Linked DNA regions of Saccharomyces cerevisiae S288C. The protein of the gene in region 2 interacts with the protein of the main gene of each other region in a biochemical or structural test. Each region holds a gene or a part of one and is shown on either strand. Other genes may lie near its edges.

Region 1 (3,418 bases), 760 kb from region 2:
AGAAGACGTTTTTGACCTTCCACTTAAGGTAGGCGTTTCTCAAAGCAGGAACTTTTCAGAAGTAAATGACGTGTTAGACCCGCTTTCTAGTTTGCATGGTCCGTCCAAGAAGGTGAGATTTGAACAGCAAAAGCAGCAACAGCAACATCAGCAACTTCACAATGACTTCAATACAGATTTCAACCTGAAAAGCCCGTCCAGTAAAAAAATGGGGGTAGAACAGCTGATCCAGTCAGCCAATGAAATCAACGATTACCTCGCTAACAACATTGACAAGGTAAATAGCTTTAACTCAGAGCTATTGAGCGGCAGTGGCAAGTTACCTGGGAGAGTAAAGAGTGACACAGCAACTCAAGGTACCGGACGCTTAGATTCCATGTCCAACTTTGCTCTTAGCGATACGGAGTTGGACAATGATGACGATAATTATCTCCTGGATCCCCTTGCAAATGCTAGCTCTACTACACCCACTGTGGAACACCACGGTTACAGCTTATTAGACAAGGCTTTATCCACGTCTGATAAGGAAAAAATATATACGAATAAAGTGAATTCGAATAGTCAGATAGATACTGATAATCACTCTCACGAAAGTGGAAACACTACCAATAACGAAACAGATGAAAATGAGAGTTCGGAGATCCTGGACTACACAAAATTTGATTCTTTCCCCTATCCCCCGTCTTCTGCCCCCAATGGGGAACCACCAGATTTGAAAGTGCTAAGCATTGAATGTGAGCAGGAAAATGAAAAAGAGCTACGACGAATATCTTTATTATTGGATCATTACGAATCAATACCGAAAATACCAGAATTGTCAGACGATGAAGCACTATCTAAGTTCCGTGAGAATATCGAATTAATTTTACAACTATCTAAGAAAATTAACGATAATGCGAACACTTTAGCGATTTCCTCCGAAGATCCTCAAAAATTTGTTAATTTTGTGATGAAGAACCCACCTTCCTTATCATTCAGAGATTTTATCGACAGAATCCAGAATAAATGCATGTTTGGTGCCGTAGTCTATCTTGGAGCCACCTATCTACTTCAACTTGTGTTTCTTACGAGAGACGAAATGGACGGTCCCATAAAGTTGAAGGCTAAATTACAGGAGGACCAAGCCCATAGGATCATCATATCTACAATAAGAATTGCCACCAAGCTATTAGAAGACTTTGTCCACTCACAAAACTACATTTGCAAAGTCTTCGGTATTTCAAAAAGACTGCTGACCAAACTGGAAATTTCTTTCATGGCGAGTGTTAATTTCGATGGATTAATGATTACTTGTGAAAAATTAGAAAAAACATTGCATATCCTTGATGATACAAGACAGGCATTAGGAAACACATGAGTTTTGCATATGTATTATGCAGGTTCATTTGTTCCTTCCCTTATTTCTTTTCATAGTATTTATTTTTATTTATTTATTTATTTTTTTTTGGATTTTATTTTATTTCTTTTTTAATGCTAAGAAAGTAATTCCGCATAATTAAACGTGTGCTGGCCTCGATAGGTACCTATAGTATACAGAAGCTTACGAAAAGCTCCTGCAGGATGGCACTTCTAAAATTCGCGCTCAACATGGCCGTATTGTACATTATATCGTTCTATCATTATATCGTATACGCCCGCATTACCCGACAACTCCGTCTGCAACGCGTTGACCAGAAAACTCGAACAAGAGATCGCATAAAAAACCAAAAGGAAACGAATTACTTGTCAAATAGTTATTGTAATGGATCCTCTAGAAAGGCAAACAGTAGATTTATTTCCTTCTTTTCTAGAAACATCATTATAACTAACAATATATAATTGGAATAATGGCTGGTTGGGATATTTTTGGTTGGTGTATGTTATCACCCTGTTCACGTTTTTCGGATACTTAGTTTTATTCAATGTGGTAAACATTGAATGTTTTCAGCTTAAGATCTATTTTTTTTTTTCTAGAAGAAATTGCGTCCTTTACTAACTTTATTTTACTGTACAGTCAGAGATGTGTTGGCTTCCCTTGGTCTGTGGAACAAACATGGTAAACTACTTTTCTTGGGTTTGGATAATGCCGGTAAGACCACATTGCTACATATGTTAAAGAACGATAGATTGGCAACCTTACAACCAACATGGCATCCAACTTCTGAAGAACTGGCTATTGGTAACATTAAGTTTACAACTTTCGATTTGGGTGGTCATATTCAAGCTCGTCGTTTATGGAAGGATTATTTCCCAGAAGTTAATGGTATCGTCTTTTTAGTCGATGCTGCTGACCCTGAAAGATTTGATGAAGCACGTGTCGAATTAGATGCTTTATTCAACATTGCCGAATTGAAGGACGTTCCTTTTGTAATTCTTGGTAACAAGATCGATGCTCCAAACGCCGTTTCTGAAGCGGAGCTACGTTCTGCTTTAGGATTATTGAATACCACTGGCTCTCAAAGAATTGAAGGTCAAAGACCAGTTGAAGTTTTCATGTGTTCCGTTGTTATGAGAAATGGTTATTTAGAGGCGTTCCAATGGTTATCTCAATATATTTAATTGACGTATACATCTATACCCTTTATATGACATTCACATGAATTCAACAGCTTTGTAATAATCAACAAAATTGCATAGGATGCCACCTCATAACTTTTGAGCACAGCATTTCCGCGATCATAGTATATTTTAGACTCTAAGATTGAATAAAAGTATGATACATCTTAAGTATACATATATATATGTATATATATATATATACATGAAAGTTTACCTCCTCATCTTACGTGGACGAGATTCATCGTCACCGCCCATAGTTGTTCTTTTACCATTCTGGGCGAAGTATTCTTTCTTTTTCTCCTTATCCCTTTGTGATTTTTCTTCCTCCATCTTAGCTAATTTTTTCAATCTTTCCTTACGTTGACTAGCCTTCTGTTCCTTCCTCTTGCTGTCTTTGGCTTTCGAAATCGTCAATACTTTTTGAATGAATGATCTTGCCTTCTTTTCATCACCACCTAGCACCACGGCTCTTTTAGCCATATATGTTTTCTTCTTTTGTGGTTTCATTTGATGGATCTGAGATTTGAATGGCAATTCCTTTTGAACAGCTTTTGGGACCTTTAGACCATTGAAGTGTCTTTCTACACGTTCTATTTTATGATATGCACTGTCCGGATTCGACGGTGTTTCCAGGTTCATAGCCGCTCTTATTTGGCCTGTCAATCTTAAACCTTTCCACTCGGTTTTTTCCTTCAACAATAGTGAGGTAACAGGATTATAGAATTTCTTGACGCGGACAGGATACCATGATCTTAGAATTACAATATCACTCATTAGGATTTTATCCTCAAAGGCTGCCCTATAGTGACCCTCAGGCTTTGAAAGTGCCCTTTTGATTTCACCACGGATACCCGAGACAGTTTTGATCTGCGCACCCTCA
Region 2 (6,691 bases):
ATCGAGTTTGCTCCTGTCGCGGCCATTATAGGGGGTGCTGTAGCGCAGGATGTCATTAACATTCTAGGTAAAAGGCTATCTCCATTAAATAATTTCATTGTTTTTGATGGTATTACATTAGACATGCCACTTTTTGAGTTTTAGATATATACATACCTACTATACTGTAGTTTCAGCCAAAAAAAATAATAAAAAAAGCATAATTGGAGGCAGTAAAGCATTATAGTCATACACAATAATAATAATAATAATAATAATAATAATAATAATAATAGTAGTAGTAGTAATGGTAATAAAAAAGTTAGAAAAGAAATTAGATACAGATATTCGTAGTAAAGGCCACGCAGTACAAAAAAGACGGAGAATATATTATATAAAATCCTCTACTCTTTTCGTTCAGGTCCAAAGGAAAATTCTTGCACGCGCAATGGACTGAACAGGCCTTATATTATACAAAAAGCCTAATAACGATCAAATAAAACAAAAGAAAGCCGTTGCTCCTATGCCTGACCAGAGACGGCTACTTGTTGTAAGTGAGTCATGAAATTTTGTAAGGAAACATCATCTGTTAAGACAATTGTAGATCCTCCGCGCGCCATGTCTTGATAGTTATCGGAAGGATTCAATTTAGATAACAAGAATCTGGCTTGAGAACCACCGGCTTCAGTATCAATGAATCTTGGTAGCGGGAACCTATCTACTAACAATTCTGCGGCTTCTAATTTTGGCTCTTCAAGAAGAGCTTTGAAATCTGCGTACTGTGGATCGTCTTGGTAACCGGCTTTTCTCCATTGAGCGATTTGCTCACCGTGGTATATTAAGATGAAGAAAAATGTATCTAATAATAGAATGGTATTGGGTTTGACGGAGATAGAGTCTAATAATACCGGTTGTGGATCGTCCTCCATTGAGAAAGAAGTTAGAGTTGGTTGAATCATGATTAAAGAATTAGTCGTATCCTCTCTTGTGAAAATATGTCTATAAAATGCAGTTTCATCCGGAGAATTGTTAAAGACACTTAAGAATTGGGATCTTCTTAAATAATAGGTAAATTGAGGATACAGTGAGAAATTTGGAGCCAACCTGAAAGATTGAGGATCATCTTTATTATAGTCGGCGTACTTTTGACATAGCTTAATCAAAGTTCTGTCTAACCATCTAATAACATCTGCACCATCATCGGTTTCAGCCTTGTGAACAGCAATACGAGCCATCAAAACGGCAGCAGCTTCTTGATCGAAAGAAGCTGCAATGGCAGGAGTACCGAAGGGCAAAAGCTGGTTTGCGACCGTGGTGACTCTGATACGGTTGGTACCAGAGGAGTGTTGATAAGTAGTGATGAATTGAGTATATGCTAGATGAGGTCTATCTGCTGAACCAGGGGCAGACATCATTGGGTTAGAATTAGCCGCAGTGTTTGCAATTTCAAAGAAAATCGCATACGAGTGATAAGGCGATAAGGAAGCCATCTTCCAGGTGGACGTTGCACCTATACCGATTTCAGATTCACTGATGTTGTTAGCGTCTGTCTTCTTTACAGCAGAAGCATGCCCAATCAAACCTTGTACCTTCAAGTCTTTACTTGTCTTGACTGCCATATTACCATTGAAAGCCATCTTCAAATACCCTTCTTCATCCTTGGCAAACAATCTCAAGTATGATTGCTTAAAAATCGCGGTAGAGAAGGCATCGGTTAGCAACAACACACCTCCAGTAGAGTCGGTCAACTGTTTCATTTCAGACATACCGATTTGATCGTAACAACCGGCAAAAATATCAACAGTGTGTCCATTGGCGGCAACTCTTTGTGCAATCTGGTTGTAAAACTTACAGGCCTTCTTGTAATGTTGCGCGTGATCAGAATCGATGTCGTGGTGGGATCTTAAGGGATCTTTTAACTCTGAGTTAACAATCAAACCTGGGGCCACGGTGCCTGGACCGGAGGCGAAAAGAATGATTCTTGCTGGGATGTTCTTATAGCAGCCCTGTAAAAGCAAAGATGCAATGTTCAAAGCGGAACCTGTGGCCCTTAATGGCCTATGACCCGCTGGAACAGACCATTGGTCTGGAGACAGATTTTCCAGTAATTGATTCAGTTTGAACTCGACCTGTTCCAAGGGCAGGAAGAACCTATTCAAAGAGAAGGGCGTAACTTTGTTCATGGCGTTCGGTAGATGAGATGCAGCACCGCCGGGGCCGGTAGGCTTTTGGCCGGTCAACATTTCCGTCAACGCTTCGAGCTGGTACTCCCTGTCTCCTCTGAACACGTTGCACCTGTCAATAGTTTCGCTGGACAGATCGTGCAATTGAACAACGTTTCCGTAAGTGATCAACCCAATCAGCGCGTTGGGAGGTAATAGAGACAAAGAAGTGATGATAGACTCCTTTAGCGAATCGAGGTTCTCGGTTTCCGAAGTCAAATCCACAACAAAGAAGAAAATGGGAGGAACGGTAACGGGCTTATTGGTGATGTACTCAATGGTGGTGGACTGTAACTCTAGCGGCATATTCTCCTGTGACAAGTTGGTGTACTGTGGAGGTAAATGGTTCCTGGAGTTACAGATGGGACAACTCCAGGACGAATTGCGCGGATCAATCACACAGTAAGGATTTAGAATCGACTTACAGTGTGGACCGGAACACACAACTGGATTGTATGGGGCAACGTTCAATTCGTCATACTCCTTCAAAGGTGTGTACAAACAGCCCACAGGGACGACGTTGCTGTTAGCGTCGCTTCTAGTAGAGGGAAACACGTTCCAGGTGAAACGGACCCCGTTGATGTCTTCATTAGTCTCGAAGTCCATGGCTAGAAAAGAGGAAGGGGAGGCAGGCGACAGACAGATAAACACTGGCTTCAGTTAATTGTGTGTCTTGCTGAACGTGGAAAGATCACAACAAGTATCTTTTTTTCTTTTTTCAAACGTGTTTTTCTTTTATTCTTGCTAGAACTTTCCTCCTTTGTAACAAACGAGAGGCGGCGGGCTAGTCGTCGCAAGCGACAAATCTCAACTGACAGTAAATAACGGTGATAAAACAAAATTAGCGCAATCTCTCAAACTACTGAGGACAACCAACTTGAATTGCACTCTTCCAAGTTGTAGCATGGCTTGGGGGGTGTGTGATCCCATCCTGTATTATGGCAAAGCAGGCAAAACAACCGCTCTGCCGTCCGGGTAACTTTTCTTGTTCCACCTCTTTTCCCCAACATATATGAACATGAGATGGTAAGAGCAAGAAACAACGGTTCTATGAGCAACGCAAAAACAGCACAGCACACACAGCACCGCGTACTATACCACACCACACACTACGTCACAACACAACAAGACAATGAGCGAGAGCAGTGATATCAGCGCGATGCAGCCGGTGAACCCGAAGCCGTTCCTCAAAGGCCTGGTCAACCATCGTGTAGGCGTCAAGCTTAAGTTCAACAGCACCGAATATAGAGGTACGCTCGTGTCCACGGACAACTACTTTAACCTGCAGCTGAACGAAGCAGAAGAGTTTGTTGCGGGTGTCTCGCACGGCACCCTGGGCGAGATATTCATCCGCTGCAATAACGTGCTGTACATCAGGGAGCTGCCGAACTAAGACGACTGTGCTCATCTCCCTTACATACCAGTATATTTACATACGCCCTCTACTGTAATACAATATCATTCTATAGCACTCGCATCGCGTATTTTTTTTTTATTTTCTTGCTTTATATTGTTCTATTTTTCTTCCTTATTCCTGCCTCTGGATTTCCCTCGCATGACAAATAGCGTGGAAAAATAAAGGATTTCCAGTATTTGAAAAATTTTCAGTATTCTTACGTGTTCCTAACTCATATAGACCGCTATTGTAATAACGCTATCGCTTCAATTACACACAAACATACACGCACCCACAATGAGCATCGAATACTCTGTTATCGTTCCCGCTTACCATGAAAAGCTGAACATCAAACCCTTAACAACCAGATTGTTTGCCGGCATGAGCCCTGAAATGGCCAAGAAGACCGAGTTGATCTTTGTCGATGACAACTCACAGGATGGCTCCGTTGAGGAGGTGGACGCCCTAGCTCACCAAGGCTACAACGTCCGCATCATCGTCAGGACAAATGAACGTGGTCTATCCTCCGCCGTGCTTAAGGGTTTCTACGAGGCCAAGGGTCAGTACCTGGTATGCATGGACGCAGACCTACAACACCCTCCAGAGACCGTGCCCAAGTTGTTCGAGTCTTTGCACGATCACGCCTTTACTCTGGGCACCAGATATGCCCCAGGTGTCGGCATTGACAAGGACTGGCCTATGTACAGACGCGTCATTTCCTCCACTGCTAGAATGATGGCCAGACCTTTGACCATCGCCTCCGACCCCATGAGCGGGTTCTTCGGTCTACAAAAGAAGTACCTCGAAAACTGCAACCCTAGGGACATCAACTCGCAAGGTTTCAAGATTGCCCTCGAGCTTCTCGCCAAGCTTCCTCTTCCAAGAGACCCTAGAGTGGCGATCGGCGAAGTGCCATTCACTTTCGGCGTGAGAACGGAAGGTGAATCCAAACTGTCAGGTAAAGTCATTATCCAATACTTGCAACAACTTAAGGAGCTCTACGTCTTCAAGTTTGGCGCCAATAACCTTATCCTTTTCATTACTTTCTGGTCCATTCTGTTCTTCTACGTTTGCTACCAGCTATACCATTTGGTCTTTTAAAGGAAGTGAATGGTAACGAAAAAAAAAAATCTTTCTTTATATGTCTCTTTAAGTACTCCCTTTCAGTTATATGCCTTTTATTGTCTGTCCCTATTCTAATCCTCTACTCGGGCCATCATTGTTAACGTAATATTTGCCCTAGGGTAAAAACATTAGGTTGATTAGGCCATAACTCATTCTGCCCCACCCCCACACATAGGGTTCAGGAACTTGGTTTTCAACCCTACTGCATTGTTTCCCACGCGGCGCTACCAAAATATATCCAATTTTCTTTTTTGTCACAACAGCAGCAACCCCTTGAAATGGCCAATTCTTCTCGAGACTTTGCTCCCTTAATCTTTTCTTCCCCCCCGGTTTCTTGATGATTATATATACTAACCTCGTATATTACACACTGTACTTGAAGTCACTCATATCCGAATACTACTTCTCTTAACTTCCAGTCAACCCGACACCCACAATCGTCCTTAGTATATAACTGCTTTATGAATAGATCATTACTGCTACGTTTGTCGGATACCGGTGAACCCATTACAAGCTGCTCTTACGGAAAAGGTGTCTTGACGCTACCACCAATTCCGCTCCCTAAGGACGCCCCAAAGGACCAACCGCTCTATACGGTCAAGCTACTGGTATCTGCAGGTTCCCCTGTCGCTAGGGATGGGCTAGTTTGGACTAATTGCCCACCAGATCACAACACGCCCTTCAAGAGGGACAAATTTTACAAAAAAATCATTCATTCCAGCTTTCACGAGGATGACTGCATTGACCTGAATGTCTACGCTCCAGGCTCGTACTGCTTTTATCTATCTTTCAGGAACGATAACGAAAAACTTGAGACAACAAGGAAATACTACTTTGTTGCCTTGCCCATGCTTTATATAAACGATCAGTTCCTACCTTTGAATTCCATCGCTTTACAAAGTGTTGTATCGAAATGGCTGGGCTCTGACTGGGAGCCCATCCTATCGAAAATTGCCGCTAAAAACTACAATATGGTACATTTCACCCCTCTACAGGAAAGAGGCGAGTCTAACTCGCCTTACTCTATATACGACCAATTGCAGTTCGACCAGGAACACTTTAAGTCTCCTGAAGACGTGAAAAATTTAGTTGAGCATATACATCGCGATTTAAACATGCTTTCATTAACAGATATTGTTTTTAACCACACAGCTAATAATTCTCCTTGGTTAGTTGAGCACCCGGAGGCTGGGTATAACCACATCACTGCGCCACATCTAATCAGCGCCATAGAGCTCGACCAAGAATTGCTCAATTTTAGTAGGAATTTGAAATCCTGGGGCTATCCTACCGAACTGAAAAATATAGAAGATCTCTTCAAGATCATGGACGGTATTAAAGTGCATGTTTTAGGGTCGTTGAAACTGTGGGAATATTATGCGGTAAACGTGCAAACAGCTCTTCGGGATATCAAAGCCCATTGGAATGACGAATCTAACGAAAGTTACAGTTTTCCCGAGAATATTAAAGACATCTCGTCCGATTTCGTAAAACTAGCTTCCTTTGTGAAGGACAACGTCACTGAGCCTAACTTCGGCACTCTTGGTGAAAGAAACTCAAACAGGATTAACGTGCCAAAATTTATTCAACTACTGAAGCTCATTAACGATGGTGGTAGTGATGACAGTGAATCTTCGTTGGCCACGGCTCAAAACATCTTGAACGAGGTCAACTTACCCTTATATAGAGAATACGACGATGATGTCAGTGAGATACTCGAGCAACTGTTCAATCGTATCAAATATTTGAGATTAGATGACGGTGGGCCCAAGCAAGGTCCAGTGACCGTTGACGTGCCCTTAACAGAGCCTTATTTTACGAGGTTCAAAGGAAAAGATGGTACTGATTATGCCCTCGCCAACAATGGCTGGATATGGAATGGTAACCCACTAGTGGATTTTGCATCGCAGAATTCAAGAGCTTATTTACGTAGAGAAGTTATCGTGTGGGGGGACTGTGTCAAGTTAAG

What was found.
Region 1: the proteins of SEC23 (region 2) and SAR1 form a complex in vitro, tested with the Saccharomyces cerevisiae proteins (6 studies listed by BioGRID, with this or other methods).

What each region holds. Positions count from the first base shown.
Region 1 is NC_001148.4:136,872-140,289, forward strand, and holds SAR1 (Arf family GTPase SAR1), read left to right. Parts: upstream 1-1,826; coding exon 1,827-1,854; intron 1,855-1,993; coding exon 1,994-2,538; downstream 2,539-3,418. Other genes in the region: PCL8 (Pcl8p), read left to right, coding at 1-1,357; GTPase BMS1, read right to left, coding at 2,749-3,418. UniProt on the Saccharomyces cerevisiae protein: Small GTPase component of the coat protein complex II (COPII) which promotes the formation of transport vesicles from the endoplasmic reticulum (ER).
Region 2 is NC_001148.4:896,861-903,551, forward strand, and holds SEC23 (GTPase-activating protein SEC23), read right to left. Parts: upstream 2,808-6,691; coding exon 501-2,807; downstream 1-500. Other genes in the region: E1 ubiquitin-activating protein AOS1, read left to right, coding at 1-144; mRNA splicing protein SMX3, read left to right, coding at 3,334-3,594; DPM1 (dolichyl-phosphate beta-D-mannosyltransferase), read left to right, coding at 3,895-4,698; GDB1 (bifunctional 4-alpha-glucanotransferase/amylo-alpha-1,6-glucosidase), read left to right, coding at 5,184-6,691. UniProt on the Saccharomyces cerevisiae protein: Component of the coat protein complex II (COPII) which promotes the formation of transport vesicles from the endoplasmic reticulum (ER).